Linked DNA regions of Saccharomyces cerevisiae S288C. The gene in region 1 interacts genetically with each later gene. Each region holds a gene or a part of one and is shown on either strand. Other genes may lie near its edges.

Evidence for each region.
Region 2: mutations in EFT2 (region 1) and HGH1 together harm fitness more than expected from each alone (negative genetic interaction), as found in Saccharomyces cerevisiae (4 studies listed by BioGRID, with this or other methods).
Region 3: mutations in EFT2 (region 1) and JJJ3 together harm fitness more than expected from each alone (negative genetic interaction), as found in Saccharomyces cerevisiae (3 studies listed by BioGRID, with this or other methods).
Region 4: mutations in EFT2 (region 1) and DPH5 together harm fitness more than expected from each alone (negative genetic interaction), as found in Saccharomyces cerevisiae (4 studies listed by BioGRID, with this or other methods).

The regions. Positions count from the first base shown.
Region 1 is NC_001136.10:1,241,351-1,246,716, forward strand, and holds EFT2 (elongation factor 2), read left to right. Parts: upstream 1-1,879; coding exon 1,880-4,408; downstream 4,409-5,366. Other genes in the region: putative ammonium permease ATO3, read right to left, coding at 1-681; MUS81 (Mus81p), read left to right, coding at 4,734-5,366. UniProt on the Saccharomyces cerevisiae protein: Catalyzes the GTP-dependent ribosomal translocation step during translation elongation.
Region 2 is NC_001139.9:869,156-873,303, forward strand, and holds HGH1 (Hgh1p), read right to left. Parts: upstream 2,262-4,148; coding exon 1,077-2,261; downstream 1-1,076. Other genes in the region: transcription factor IIF subunit TFG1, read left to right, coding at 1-826; protein kinase BUB1, read right to left, coding at 2,889-4,148.
Region 3 is NC_001142.9:610,572-613,671, reverse strand, and holds JJJ3 (Jjj3p), read right to left. Parts: upstream 1,260-3,100; coding exon 741-1,259; downstream 1-740. Other genes in the region: YJR098C (uncharacterized protein), read left to right, coding at 1-486; YJR096W (aldo-keto reductase superfamily protein), read right to left, coding at 1,629-2,477; SFC1 (Sfc1p), read right to left, coding at 2,931-3,100.
Region 4 is NC_001144.5:500,760-504,670, forward strand, and holds DPH5 (diphthine synthase), read right to left. Parts: upstream 1,404-3,911; coding exon 501-1,403; downstream 1-500. Other genes in the region: APS1 (Aps1p), read right to left, coding at 1-290; TAG1 (Tag1p), read left to right, coding at 1,662-3,488; isocitrate dehydrogenase (NADP(+)) IDP2, read left to right, coding at 3,832-3,911. UniProt on the Saccharomyces cerevisiae protein: S-adenosyl-L-methionine-dependent methyltransferase that catalyzes four methylations of the modified target histidine residue in translation elongation factor 2 (EF-2), to form an intermediate called diphthine methyl ester.

The DNA.
Region 1 (5,366 bases):
GAAGGTGCCGATACACAGTAGTAGGAAGGTAAGATCCAAAAACGTCAATAGTAAGAACAAACCCCACGTGCTCTTCAATGTACACATCAACATCAAGAAGGTGAAAACGGTCCAGCCCGCAAGGAAGAACCCAATGACATTGTTCAACATTGTGGGATCGGTATAGCCGCTGACCAAATTATCAGTATCTGTTAGCCCATAACCGTAGCAGATCCAGAACCCGCCGAAAGAACTGAACACAGTCATGGCGTATGTGTCCCCAATGACAAAACACAATAACCCGGCAAACAATTCAATGGCACCACCAAAAAACATAAACAAACTTAGCGCCCATTTACCATCAGTGACGCCGCGAACGTTCGCATTAATTAGCGACAGAACTAGACATGACAGAGAAAACGATGCGAGACCCAAAGGAACCGGATTAGCGAACTGGTGCGGAGTATACTTTGCACAGTTTCCTTCCTCCCCATCCCCTCTGTCTAGTGCATTGAGCAAATCTCTGCGCCTGTAGGTGGAGGATCCTAGAGTAATGAAGTCTCTGTCGGAGTATATCTCTTGAATATTAGGGAAGCCCTGCGAAACGCCTGCAATCGAACCCTGCTGGGGGAGCGTCTCAATATTTTCTAGAGTGTTCACACCCTTTTCCAAATCCTGTGGAGAAGAAGCAGACGATGTCATTTTAACCAGTATTTTTATTTTTTATTCTTACTAAATCTTTCTGGGAATGTATTCAGTTATATGTGACCCAACTGTTTATAAAACTGGGGGAATATTAGGCAATCAAGCGAAGCTCATCGATGAGTATTCAATTTGCTAAAAAGTTGTTTTATTTAAATATTCCTTCTGAGTCACGGTCATCGTGAATAGCGTTAAAATTCTCAAATCCATTGGTGTTTCCATTAGGCCCTGAGCGGTTCCCCAAGAAAAAAAAAAACAGTAGAAAAAAATGATGCTTCTTCCTAACGCTATTGTAGTGCAGGTTCTGCCGTGTGCCAAGTTGGAGCAGCGCCTGCTGAGACTCTTCCGTATGGTTCTTGCTCTTCTCAGGACCAGCGGCGGCAGTTCCGGTTTTTTTCGGCGTCTTTTGTCTGGCACACAATGGGCGATGGAGAGGGAAAACCGGAGGATATGCCAGCTGCGGTGAGATTATGGTTGGAGTTATGTTTGTAGCCGGCGGTGCGGCAATAGGAGAGGGGAGGGGAAGGGGAGGGGAAAAGGTAATGGCTGACGAAGTATAGAGATGGCAATCACAAGCCAAATATTGGAGATTACATGCAAGAATGCTACTGTTATACAAAAGGGTGAAAATTGAGACCCAAATTCCTTCCTTTTTTTTCTTTTTTTTTTACCAGAAGAATTACGTACAAAAGTACCTACTATTTCAAAGCAAGAAATGAGATGCCTATTGTGGTTATATACAGAATAGATGATAAATGGGTTTTCCGTGCAAAACGATATGGAGAATTCAAAATGGGTGCGAAATACCTGGAACGTAAGCGTTCTGAGAAATACACAGACGCATTAACCTGACAAAAACACAACTAGTTTGGGAAAGGGATTTGGTCTTTCCTCTCGGGTCTCTCGTGTGGTTCCTTTCTTTCTCAGATCTCCCTGCACACTGGGCTGTTGTCCTCCAGGTTATGGTTTGTTCTCTTCAGGTATTACAATGCAGTAGGCTTTTGGAGTGAGCAAAACGAAGAGAGAAAAAAATTTTTTCTTAAAAGTTTTTTTTCATTTTGTGAGCTTATTCTTCTTTTCTATATATTCTTGATATCTTAGATTATACATATTATTCTCTTACATTTCACGATTGCCCTTTTGGTGTTTAGCATTCAGACTCAAAGACCACAAACACAAACTATAACATAATTGCAAGATGGTTGCTTTCACTGTTGACCAAATGCGTTCTTTAATGGACAAAGTTACCAATGTGCGTAACATGTCCGTTATTGCTCACGTCGATCATGGTAAGTCCACTTTGACCGATTCCTTGGTCCAAAGAGCCGGTATTATTTCCGCTGCTAAGGCTGGTGAAGCTCGTTTCACCGATACCAGAAAGGATGAACAAGAAAGAGGTATCACTATCAAGTCTACCGCTATTTCTCTATACTCTGAAATGTCTGACGAAGATGTCAAGGAAATCAAGCAAAAGACCGACGGTAACTCCTTCTTGATCAACTTGATCGACTCTCCAGGTCACGTTGACTTCTCCTCTGAAGTTACTGCCGCTTTACGTGTCACTGACGGTGCTTTGGTTGTCGTCGACACCATTGAAGGTGTCTGTGTCCAAACCGAAACTGTTTTGAGACAAGCTTTGGGTGAGAGAATCAAGCCTGTTGTTGTTATCAACAAGGTCGACAGAGCTTTGTTGGAATTGCAAGTTTCTAAGGAAGATTTATACCAAACCTTTGCCAGAACTGTTGAATCCGTTAACGTCATCGTTTCCACCTACGCCGATGAAGTTTTGGGTGATGTCCAAGTTTACCCAGCCAGAGGTACCGTTGCCTTCGGTTCCGGTTTGCACGGTTGGGCTTTCACTATCCGTCAATTCGCCACCAGATATGCTAAGAAATTCGGTGTCGACAAGGCCAAGATGATGGACAGATTATGGGGTGACTCTTTCTTCAACCCAAAGACCAAGAAGTGGACCAACAAGGACACTGATGCTGAAGGTAAGCCATTGGAAAGAGCTTTCAACATGTTCATCTTGGACCCAATCTTCAGATTATTCACTGCTATCATGAACTTCAAGAAAGATGAAATTCCAGTTTTGCTAGAAAAGTTGGAAATTGTCTTGAAGGGTGACGAAAAGGACTTGGAAGGTAAGGCCTTGTTGAAGGTTGTTATGAGAAAGTTCTTGCCAGCTGCCGATGCCTTATTGGAAATGATTGTCTTGCACTTGCCATCTCCAGTCACTGCTCAAGCCTACAGAGCTGAACAATTATACGAAGGTCCAGCTGACGATGCCAACTGTATTGCTATCAAGAACTGTGATCCAAAGGCTGATTTGATGTTGTACGTCTCCAAGATGGTGCCAACCTCTGATAAGGGTAGATTCTACGCCTTCGGTAGAGTTTTTGCCGGTACTGTTAAGTCCGGTCAAAAGGTCAGAATCCAAGGTCCAAACTACGTTCCAGGTAAGAAGGACGATTTGTTCATCAAGGCCATTCAAAGAGTTGTTTTGATGATGGGTAGATTTGTCGAACCAATCGATGACTGTCCAGCCGGTAACATTATCGGTTTAGTCGGTATCGATCAATTCTTGTTGAAGACTGGTACTTTGACCACCAGTGAAACTGCTCACAACATGAAGGTCATGAAATTCTCTGTCTCTCCAGTTGTGCAAGTCGCTGTCGAAGTCAAGAACGCTAACGACTTACCAAAATTGGTCGAAGGTTTGAAGAGATTGTCCAAGTCTGATCCATGTGTCTTGACCTATATGTCTGAATCCGGTGAACATATCGTTGCTGGTACCGGTGAATTGCATTTGGAAATTTGTTTGCAAGATTTGGAACACGACCACGCTGGTGTTCCATTGAAGATCTCCCCACCAGTTGTCGCTTACAGAGAAACTGTTGAAAGTGAATCTTCTCAAACTGCTTTGTCCAAGTCTCCAAACAAGCATAACAGAATCTACTTGAAGGCTGAACCAATTGACGAAGAAGTCTCTTTGGCTATTGAAAACGGTATCATCAACCCAAGAGATGATTTCAAGGCCAGAGCTAGAATCATGGCTGACGACTACGGTTGGGATGTCACCGATGCCAGAAAGATCTGGTGTTTCGGTCCAGACGGTAACGGTCCAAACTTGGTTATTGACCAAACTAAGGCTGTCCAATACTTGCACGAAATCAAGGATTCCGTTGTTGCTGCTTTCCAATGGGCTACCAAGGAAGGTCCAATTTTCGGTGAAGAAATGAGATCTGTCAGAGTTAACATTTTGGATGTTACTTTACATGCCGATGCTATCCACAGAGGTGGTGGTCAAATCATCCCAACCATGAGAAGAGCTACTTACGCTGGTTTCTTGTTGGCTGATCCAAAGATCCAAGAACCAGTTTTCTTGGTCGAAATTCAATGTCCAGAACAAGCCGTCGGTGGTATCTACTCCGTCTTAAACAAGAAGAGAGGTCAAGTCGTTTCTGAAGAACAAAGACCAGGTACTCCATTGTTTACCGTCAAGGCCTACTTGCCAGTTAACGAATCTTTCGGTTTCACTGGTGAATTGAGACAAGCTACTGGTGGTCAAGCTTTCCCACAAATGGTTTTCGACCATTGGTCCACTTTAGGTTCTGACCCATTGGACCCAACCTCTAAGGCTGGTGAAATTGTTCTTGCTGCTCGTAAGAGACACGGTATGAAGGAAGAAGTTCCAGGCTGGCAAGAATATTACGACAAATTGTAAGAATGGTTAAACAATTTTTAATTATTTAACTTTTTCAGTTTTTGTCGTAATGTATTGGGCACCTTTTATGTCCTTTTGACTTTTTTGTAGTTTATTCTCACGTATACTTACCATCTATAGTGTTATTTCATATTTAATCATATTTCCATATTAGATATCTGCCTTCCCCTGTATAATAGTTACTATGATTTATCTTGCTTTGCCTATTCGCGTCATCAACTTCTTTTCTTACCGATCGCGGTAATGCCCTTTAAGAGTGGCATCAACATTGGCGTAAACAAAGTTTCAAAGGATTGATACGAACACACATTCCTAGCATGAAAGCATGGAACTCTCATCAAACTTAAAAGACCTATATATTGAATGGTTACAAGAATTAGTTGACGGATTAACCCCTAAACAAGAACAACTCAAAATAGCCTATGAAAAAGCAAAAAGGAATTTACAAAATGCTGAAGGTTCATTTTATTATCCTACAGATCTAAAGAAAGTTAAGGGAATTGGCAATACAATAATAAAGAGATTAGATACGAAATTACGGAACTATTGCAAAATTCACCACATATCTCCCGTTGAGGCTCCTTCCTTAACTCAGACAAGTAGCACCAGACCACCAAAGAGGACTACTACAGCTTTGCGTAGCATAGTAAACTCATGCGAAAATGATAAGAATGAAGCTCCCGAAGAGAAGGGAACTAAAAAGAGAAAAACTAGGAAGTATATACCCAAAAAAAGATCTGGAGGCTACGCTATCCTTCTTTCCTTACTCGAGCTTAATGCCATTCCTCGAGGCGTTAGTAAAGAGCAAATCATCGAGGTTGCAGGAAAATACAGTGACCATTGTATGACTCCAAATTTCTCCACAAAAGAATTCTACGGTGCTTGGTCGTCTATTGCTGCACTTAAAAAACATTCGTTGGTTCTTGAGGAAGGTAGACCAAAACGGTATTCGCTAACA
Region 2 (4,148 bases), on another chromosome or scaffold:
CAATTCAGAAGTAGAGTTAGATTATGATGAAGAGTTTGCCGATGATGAGGAGGCACCTATTATAGATGGTAATGAACAAGAAAATAAAGAATCAGAACAAAGAATCAAGAAGGAGATGCTGCAAGCTAATGCGATGGGGCTTCGTGATGAAGAAGCTCCTTCCGAAAACGAAGAAGATGAGTTATTTGGGGAAAAGAAGATTGATGAGGATGGTGAAAGAATTAAGAAGGCATTACAAAAGACAGAACTTGCAGCACTATACTCATCGGATGAAAATGAGATCAACCCATACTTATCTGAATCCGATATTGAAAACAAAGAGAATGAATCGCCCGTTAAAAAGGAAGAAGATTCGGACACTCTATCCAAATCCAAGAGATCTTCTCCAAAGAAACAGCAAAAGAAAGCTACAAATGCGCATGTGCATAAAGAGCCAACTTTGAGGGTGAAAAGTATTAAAAACTGTGTCATTATCTTGAAGGGGGATAAGAAAATACTGAAAAGCTTCCCAGAGGGAGAATGGAATCCACAGACGACAAAAGCTGTAGATAGTAGTAATAATGCATCGAATACAGTGCCTTCGCCAATCAAACAAGAGGAAGGCTTGAATTCTACAGTGGCAGAAAGGGAAGAAACTCCAGCGCCTACAATAACAGAAAAAGATATCATCGAGGCTATTGGTGATGGCAAAGTCAATATCAAAGAGTTTGGAAAGTTCATCAGAAGAAAATATCCTGGCGCAGAGAATAAAAAGCTAATGTTTGCCATTGTAAAAAAATTGTGTCGAAAGGTTGGCAATGACCACATGGAATTAAAGAAAGAGTAGGTTAGTTTATAATGTTATGTACTTAATAGGTTATTTAGTTTTCGTTCTTTTCATTCTTTCCTTTTTCTTTCCATTTAATCTTATGTAGTTACATTATACTGTCATTTTAGTTGCAGTAAGTATACTTTTTTATCTAGTCTTTTTTTCTGCCTTTTTTTTGAGAAAAGACTCAGAATTCTACTAAACTCTAATATATTGTTATTTCTGTATTATACAATTCTATGCTATGTGAACTGTCCTTGAAAGTGACCTAGGCCACTTCGACAATTTCATCTTCTTCGTCGTCATCTTCTTCTTCTTCACTCTCCTCCTCTTCTTCCTCTTCCGCATTCTTTGATGGCATCTCTTCCACTGCTCCCGCACCTGGCTCGCCTCTCATTAACATATTAACAATTCTGTAACATAATTCACCAATATCTTCATTCTCAACGTTTTTATGCAGCTCCCTCACTAGTGGATAAACGGACTTGTCTCTTAAGTATTCTCTTCCAGCATGCGTTGTACATAGCAAAAGAATACTTTCTAAATGACAGCATATAATTGCAGGAATCGGGTCTCTTTCCTTGTCCTCTGGTAATAATTGAAGTTCATCTGGTAAATTGAACATATCTTCCTCATCAATTTCAGAATCTTTAGCACTAGCAATAGGTAGCAGGATGTAAGGCAACAAGTTTATTTTTTCATCTTTGAGTAACCTTTCATGAGTTTCAGAATCAAATAGGGAATTTTTAATTGTGGAAGCGACACCTTCTCTTCTTACCTTTGCATCATATTTTTCGGTAAATACTAGCAATTTTGAAATAGGAACAACCCCATCGTATTCCTGCTCTTCAATAAAATACATCCTGCCCAATTTAAACCTCGAGATATCCGCAAAAAAAAAGGCTAAATAATTGAAACTGGCATATTTTGTTAATTTTTTATCATAACCCTTAACAAAGCAATCCATTAAACAATCCATGGCTCTCAAACTTTTGAAAACTTCTTTATTTAAAGCTGCTAACTTCAAACCATCATCGACCTCCTCACCGCTTGAATTCCTTTTGATATTCAGAACAGCAAGAATGCCGTCATCCTTGGCTAAGTTGCTTAATAAGATACACATTATATCGGCATTTGGATTGGTTAAATCGACAATTTTCCAAACCAAAAATTTTAAGAACTTCTTGTCATCGCTCAATATAATATTTCTTACTAACTTGTCTTCAGATAAATTGACCAATATAGTGACACCTTGCTGAATAATAACACGGGTGCCGTGTTCTGGATCCATGATCATTTTTATTATATCCTTAATGGGTCTGTAGCTATCATTTTTGAAAACTTTTGAAGTGGGACCAGCACTAAATCCAACTAGATTATCAATGGCAATCTGTCTTACGGCAGGTTGTGGTGAATGCAGAAATTCCACTAATTCATTCAATTGTGAAGTCATCACTCAATTTTTTGTTGATTTTTTTGAGCTATTTTTAATTTTTAAATTAAATTGATACCGTTTTAAGAAGAATAAACTTGTCGTTATTAGAGTAGGTGCGTCATAAATTGATGGATGAGATGAGAGAGCTCAATATGAAAAAATGAAAAAAAAAAAAATTTGAAAAAGCCCTTCGAGGAAGAATAGGGAAAAATCTACAATAATAATTATCGTCTGGGGTGATAACAGAACACATCGAAAGGTAGCACTACCAGTAACATCCCAATTGGCTCTGCAGCTATTAGATGAAATATACTGCGAATTGCGAATCAAGACATCTATTTTTTATTCTTGTTAGTTTTCGCGGTAACAAGTGGAGCAATTGCTACATACTCGATGTATGAAGAGCTTCAGTAAAATAATATCATAACATTATCGCCATTTTTTTGGTACTTGTTTTTCCATAAGTGACAGATGTCAAGATTAAAAAAGAATATATTTACTCAACCTGAGAACCTGCTAGTTTTATATTACCTTTTATATATTAATGTTACAATTGGCTCTACCTGAAGTTGTGTTGTCATTGCTATGGAATCTGGCAGGACACCAAAAAGTCACCTATGCGGGAGATGAAGGCATATTTATTCACTAAAATCTCCTTGACGGTTTCCCCTTATATTGAAAATGTGATAACTCCTCTTCAATGCTTAGAATTACGTTTCTTAAGTGATTTTCTGCGTGCTGTTCCAGATGGCTTTCTATCAAATTCCTTATTTCAACAATCTTTTCAGTCATCGGCAAAGCTTGATTGGAAGCTTGACCGCTATTTAACAGTAAATCAAATATAACGCCCCATATTTCTTTTTTCCAATACCTTTTGAATGGGTTCTTCAATTTGCATCGTCCATTCTGCAGCTGGATTGTTTCTATGAATTTTCCAAAAAGCATCGAATGTATGACGCCTGCTAATCCATAATAATCCGCTTCATAACTCCATGGCTTGCCCGCACGCATTTCCCAGCAATCTTGCTGATCAGCCTTCCAATTTGATTTGAATTTCGTTCCAGGTGGTAACAGTGTCATATCAAATGATCTACCGAAATCTATTAAATAGATTCCCTTGTTTTCCCAGCCATCCTCTCCATTGCGCATATAATGAGCACCCAGGGGTTCGCCTGGTTTTTCTAATCTGATCATGCAGTTATCTGGTTTCAAATCGCCATGTATTATTCCCACTTCATGTATCTTTTCAAGTACTTTCATTAGCTCGACAGTGATAAACATGCACAAATATTCATCCATTATTCCGTTGCCGTCAATTGCCTTTTCCCGTTGTAAATTAATTAAATCCAAGACCGTACCTTGACTGGCGTAGTTTAAAACAAGGTAGCTCTCATCAAGGAACAAGTGTAAAGCACTAGCGTTGATTATTGACTTTAATATTGTGCTCTTCCTCAACCTAAACTCCACTTGGCTCATTATGTAATATTCCCATACACTTGCAGGTTTTTCTACTTTCAACGCTCGCAGATGTCCTTGACTAGATTCTGCTAGATATACAGTGGCATAACCTCCTTCGCCTAATTCTCCGCGTATACAATATAAATCACCCGTCTTCTTGAAGTCAACAATTGGGTTCTTGTTTTCGTTGCGGGATACCCTATGGATTTTTTTCAATAGAGAACTCATTTTCAATTCTTGGTTGTAGTTATAAAAGGTGTTATATTGGAATAATGGGGGCGAAATTTCGGATAAAAACTTCGCTCTTAAATTATTACTAAGTGGGTTTTCAATAATGACAGGCGGTTGATTTTTTATTTTAGTGAAGGGAGGTATGATCGTTGGGTAATGCTCTTTACTCTTTTCCGAATGTTCTGCAGTTTGTAAAAGCTTTTCTGCTTGTGGTTC
Region 3 (3,100 bases), on another chromosome or scaffold:
AAGTTTGTCCTAAATGCACCTGTTGTTAGGAATGTAGCCGGCAATAATAAACAGGTACCAAGGGATGTGCCTTTCGATGAAGTCTTCCATACATCTTATGAAGATAGCTGTGAATATTTAGCGAGAACTTTAAAACGTACAAAGAATTATTTGGATAGCTTAGATTACGACCCGAACAAAGAATATCCTCCATTGGCCATGGTTTACGGTAACAAGGTTCCCACTGTTAGAGGTGCTAAAGTGAACGGTATACAAGATATAAAAGATGGGAATTATGAAGATTTTTACTATGGTCCGGGCGACGGTGTTGTTCACCATAAATGGTTATTGCCTGAACAGAGAGGCTTTCCAGTTGTTTGTAAAATCGCCAGTTCTTCAGGTCATGTTAGCTTAATGACGGATTTGAAATCAATGGCAAAAGCATTCATATCTATCGTCGACAGCGAAAAAGAAGGAAGAAGATCTCGAACACGAACTTCTTCATGAAAGGCTTTTTATTCCTTTGTTTACTATTCATATCTGCATTTTTCTTTTTACCAAAATTCCGCATGTCAAAAAAAATCTGGCAACGCACCGCGAATAAAAATAAATAATATTTTTTTATCTTTAGTTGCCTAAATACTATTTATTTCGTCAATTTTACAACCTCTTTTATATACACCATTCGATTTCCCACGAAGTAAAATAATAATTCTATAAACAGATTTATCTGATATGCTCAATTTCCCCTCCCATTTTCATTATTGTCCTTCTTGCTCTTCCTCGATGTCAAAATTAACCTTCAGCCATAAGCTGCATGCGCTACATTGGGTTAATAATTGATAACCAGAATGACTCCGTTCCATAGCGTCTACATTATCAATGCATTCATCTAACAAACTCTCACTAAAATGAAAACCACCAACAAATTGACAGCGAGGACAATTCATCATAAACTCCAGCTTATCTTCATCAAATGAGAAATCGTCTAAGGAAAATTCATCCAGCCCATCACCACAATTATGAAATCCTTGGCGTTTATAGTTTTCAAGGATCAACCTATCATATTCGCGACGAGTTTTTATATTCGATAGTATTTTATAAGCATCTTGAATCTTATTGATTGTGACGTTGCTAACCGTATCATGTATGCTTTTAGAAAGTTTATCGGGGTGCGTATTTAGTAACCGATTCCTATATGCCTTTTTGATTTCATCTTGTGTTGCATCCGATGGAATTCTTAAAATTTCGTAGTGTGTTAACGAATTCACCAATGACATTTTCGCTAAATTTTCACACCAAAAGAAAGATTAAATTGGAGATAAATACAATACAAAGAGCGTGGTAAATTTCTTAGTTGATTGCGCTTATCTTTTGGCACCGATAGTGGTTTTTACAATGGTAAGACTAGTAACGTCACATCGAAGTCATCGCATCCATTTACAATTTTTCTGAAAATTTCCATCTCCAGTTACCCGCTCATAAATCTTCAAGAAAAGTCAATGATTTCCTTTTCTACCTCTAGCAGCTCCTTTAATCTTTGATTTAGATCGAAAGTCCTGAAAAAGCTACATGTAATATTAATACTTTGTGAAACGTAAACTAATTATATGTTCTATATACGTTATTCTACGGTTCGCATTTTCTTTTTATGGCGCGTCTGTGCATTCCCAATCGGTAGGCTCATAAGCATCAGGATGATCAAGAAATTTCATCTGTTCGTCTGACAGTTCAAAGTTGTAGGCTGCAAGGTTACCTTCTAACCTCTTCACAGTTTTAGTCTTCGGTAGTGGTAAATAACCGTGTTGTAAAGACCAACGAATCAAAACTTGACCTGGATTACGGTCCACCTCTTTGCAAACTTTTAATAAATCTGGATTAGTCATTTTGTAGCCGTGACACAATGGGGCAAAGGCTTCGACGACGAGACCTTTAGATTTACAGTAATCTGCTAATTCTTGTCTCATAATCCAAGGTGATATCTCGATTTGGTTGACCACTGGCTTGTGCTTCAGTTCTGGCCAGTTCAAAAGTTCATCAATGTGCTTTTTCCCATAGTTGGAAACCCCTATAGACTTAACCAATCCTTCATCAACCGCTTCTTGCATGGCGCGCCAAGTTTCCAACCTTAATTTAGAACCTTCCAGTGGCGAATGAATCAAAAGAAGATCGATGTATTGCAAGCCCGAGACTTCATTCAAACATTGCCGAATGGCAGCTTTAGCTCTTTTATATCCGTTTTGCGAATTCCATAATTTAGTAGTGTAGAAGATTTCCTCACGTTTATGGTTCCCTGGATCTTCGTTCAACCATTTAATGATACCATCGCCAACTTCCTTCTCATTACCATAAAGAACAGCAGTATCGAAATGACGGTAGCCGCACTTGACACCTTCATACACAATTTCGGCTGTTTGCGATCTTGGAATATCGTAGGTTCCCAAAGCAATGCTTGGGATTTTGAAGCCGTTTGAAAGTTTGTAAAACTTAGGAACCATGTTGTTGAGGTGAATTTTTTTTCTTCCTTCGGGCTAGGTATGCTAAGTTAATTACTAAAGTAAGATCAGTTGCTTATGCTCTTATATATTGGAGGTTGCGACAAGGGATGAAAGAAAGAGACACCTCCCCTCATATCGACACGACGGAATATGTATGATAACTACTTCATTGTTCTTTTCAGCACATTATTACTATTTACGAAAAAAGGGAGTAGGGAAAAATGGCGCGCTTATGGAGCCTCAAATAAGGACAAAAAAGTCAAGTAATGAATATCAAATTGAAATGAGTATGCTTACATAGATTTATTTGGTTTGTTTTCATTTTGTTTTTGTTTCTTATGTTGCTGCTTTATTTTGTGTAGGTAATAAGGAAGAATAGGGCGATTAATAATTGATCTTCTAGCCTATTTCTATTTTTTCTTTATTTCATTTTGTAGTCCCATTGTTCATCATCTACTTTAATGGCTTTGGCTTTGGTGTGTCATTCTTCTTGAATATACCCAAATTTTCTAAATGCTCCCTTACATATTCATAAACGGTAAAGGTGACAGCCTGACCTGGAGCCACCCTCATCACTCTTGGGGTAATACCCTTGTACAAAGCTCTAAAACCTTCTTCTTTCA
Region 4 (3,911 bases), on another chromosome or scaffold:
TATGTGTCCATTGTTTCGACAAACCGATGGATAATTTCCAAGGTCAGCAGTTCATTGTCAACATCGGGCGTCATCCCAACAATAAAATATAGACTAGCATATCGCTTGTATACTACTTTGTGGTCATTATACTCGATGATGTTACACATTTTGGGTTTTCTTGCTAATATCGTAGGTGTCAAGTCTTTCACAATTTTTGCCTTTTCACCAGCGGACATTGCCGTGTACCATTTCTTTAATCTGATTTTTCCTTGCCTAGAAACCAGCAACAAATATTTTAATTGCGTCATCTTGTGTACCTGTGTATCCGTATATAATCTCCTCCAGGATCGCTCTTGTTCTTGGCTGAAATTGTTGTTATAACTTCTTGTTCATTCATTGCCATTTTTACACATATCGTTAGGGCCCGATTCGTTTGGGATCGAATTGTTACCCGACTGAAAGGATCTATTCAATATACATTATAAAAAAGAAACTACACATGAGCGTGTGCATTACCTTTACTCGTCGCTGTCGTCTTCTGTGGGTGGGACCCATGCCGCAGGTTTGAAGTACTCTTGGTCATTTGCCACATCTTTCCCAAACTTTTCTTTGTCGTCGGCAAACTCTAGCAGGTATTCCAGCTCCAATTCATGACATTGTCTGCCGAGGATGACAAGCGAATGAAGTGGCTCTCCTGAATCGTAATTGGCTAACTCACTTATGGTACCAGACTTAAAGCTTTGGGAGCTCGAGCCTAATCTACTAATTGCGACTGCTGGAGTATCAGGAGTGTATGCCTTTGTACCTCTTTTCTCTTCAATTTCTAATAATTGTTCACAACATTGAGCGATAGACATGTATCTTGGTGGTTCGTAGATTAGTCTGCCACGGGCCATATTTTCAATGCTTTGTTCCTTAACTTTGATGTCCAATAACACTAAAGTATGAAGGCCAATTTTTCTATTTTCCCAGATCTTGTCGTACCATGAGTCTGGTCTCCAATTATCGGTAAAGAAAACCATGGAAACGGTTTGACCGAAATTGTATAGTTGTAGGCCACATGCCCCAACTGCATTCATAACGGACGCATTATGAATAATTTCGACGGGAATTGCCTCACGTTTAGCTCTGAGAACTAAATCTGTGTGTGTGGTGGCACCAAATGGATCGCCCACGACCAAGAAAGCAACGTCTTCCTTATCGGCGTTATTTAGGATCTGCTTAGAACCAGTCTCAACTAATTCCCTATCAGCCAAGATGATCTCTTTACCATAGTAAGATTCTAACTCTTCTTGGCTTGCAGCCATTAGGATACTGGTATAGTGTTCTAGATAAACTCTAGAACATTTCTTAATAGCTTCCAAACCACGAACGGTAATGTCTGATTTGTACGAGAGACCAAGTCCGATCAAATAAAGCATTTTTCTCACTGTCCTTTATTCACTCTATATCCTGTTCGTTTTTACTTTGCTAACAACCACCAGAAAAAAATTTCATCCCATCGCTTAGTTAACTTTTTTTTAGAATCGCATGCATGGGGTTATTTAATTTTCTCTAAAGGTAAATGCGAAGCCCAGAATCAAAAAGATGAACTGTCTAGGGGAAGAAGACACAAGATCCTCCTGTTTTTGGGATTTTTTATTGCTTAGTGTAGTGCATTACTCCTTGAACCTTTTAAGATGCACACTAACTCACCCTTACGAGCGGATAACCAAGATCTAGAAACTCAACCACTGTTGAGACCAAACACTGAAGAAAGCCAACTCCTCAATGATGAAGTGAGAATCAACGTTGCAAATGAGACCCTTATTAAATCTCGTTGGCGGAGTATAAAGTGCTTAATTATATATCTGCTAGGTATTGTTTTATTAAGTTTCTTTGGCGTCAGCATAGTGCAGTATATTAGGGGACATGTGCCGCCCACAGATGTGATAGAAAAGAATCTAGTTCAAGTAACAAATTTCAAACTGGTGGAGTTTCAGCTTGATGGTTGGAAAGATAATATGGGCTCTGACCTGAACAATGATACAGGTAAGTATTTGCAGGTGTCTATACACTCTCAAATTTGGTTCGATTATGACAAATGGCCAGGAACGGAAAATGACTCGGACGCCAGAAGCCAACGTGACTGGATACGGTACATCAATGAAAAAGTTCTTAAAACCATTTGTATAGATCTGAATAACGTGACCACATTCGATGGAGATCTAGTGTTCAAGAATAAACTGGGAGATGTTGTTGGCATGGAACCCATTTGTTTTAATTTGGCTCACCGACAGATTAATAACCTACAGTTCAAAATTTTAGTTAAACCGTCTATTTGGAAAATCGTAAAAGTTTTGAAAAAATTTTGGAATAGGGATTTTGAATCCTTAAATATAAAATCGAATTTAGATATGACTATCTTCAAGAGAAAATTTGGCACGAGGTTTAATTTATTGAAACTTAATGACGAAATCTTAGATTGGAAAGATATTATTGATTGGGAAAAAATATCGGCAACGCCCCTTCGGATGATTCAAAATATGATCGATGGAATATCTCTTCAAGGATTTACATTGCGGGACTCCAGTTCTGATGGATTTCATGCCGATATGAGACTGAATCCGATCACGATTCTTGGAGGGGTGGACTGGCTTCACCTTCCGCCAGGCACGTCAATCCCTTTCATCAATTGGGAAATCAAGCTACCGGACTGTAACGGTGAGCCTGCTATCGCAATTCCAACCTTGTCTTGCTTTAACGAACCGATTAATCTGCACCACGACAAGGATAATATCGTCGTCTGTTTACAAAATGAAATTGAAGGTCCTCTGCCCGATGAACTACTATACCAAGAATGTCCTCAAAATAGTCTTACACCAATGAGCCAAATAGTGAATGCGGTCCTGAACCAGAACGAGACTGTTACGTTCGCAGCAAGAGGCCATGTCCTTGAAGATGGTATAGATAATAACTCATTGATTCCAGCAGACATGCTGGAGGATATTTTCCAAGAAGCATCGTTTATTCCCATTACTACCAATGCTACGTTTAACTCCAGTGAATTGATTCAAGAGTTTCAGATCAACGATCTTCAGCTACGGTGGGCAGCGCGCAAAAAGCTCAGTCTTGTGGGGACATTTTTAGGATTCTTTGATCTATCCTTCTACGAGACGCACCAGCAAGACCGAGTTCGCATCGATACCATTCGGGGACAGATCGATCTGTACCATAACGACATCAATTTCTTAAACTTACCCATGAAGCAATGGATCAACTCTTCATCGCACATTCTGCACGATGAGGACACAGGAAATACGCAGATGAAGCTTCAATTTGATCTAGAAAATGACGACATGGAAGTCGTCAATAGCTTGGAACTAACACGAACCCTGAACGAAATACTATTCCAGGGTTTTACAGTTATTCACTTTAATGCGACGATAGATGCGTCACTTACGACGGCATTGGGCCCGTGGGTTCTCACCGGGTTAGCCGGAGAGGGTGACACTTTGGTCACGTGAACGTCTATCTATTTATTTTTATAACTCCGGGATGTCATTGCCGGTGGTCCGAAAATCGGCAAATAAGGAAATAAGGGAAGAATATGCAGTAGTCAAATCATCAGTGTTCTCTTTGATACCTTTCAGGGCTAGGAATAGTGGGGGTGGAGTATAATATCAAAAACCGGACTTAACATTATTGGTTCGGTTGGAATTGGCTATAGGCAAACTAGTCTCCGGCATGATATATAAATGACAGCCTGCAATTGTATGTTACTACACTCTTGACTTGTCGACTACAGTCGCTGCTCAGGCACGAGAATAGGAGGTAAGAAGGTAACGTACGTATATATATAAAATCGTAATGACAAAGATTAAGGTAGCTAACCCCATTGTGGAAATGGACGGCGATGAGCAAACAAGAATAATCTGGCATTTAATCAG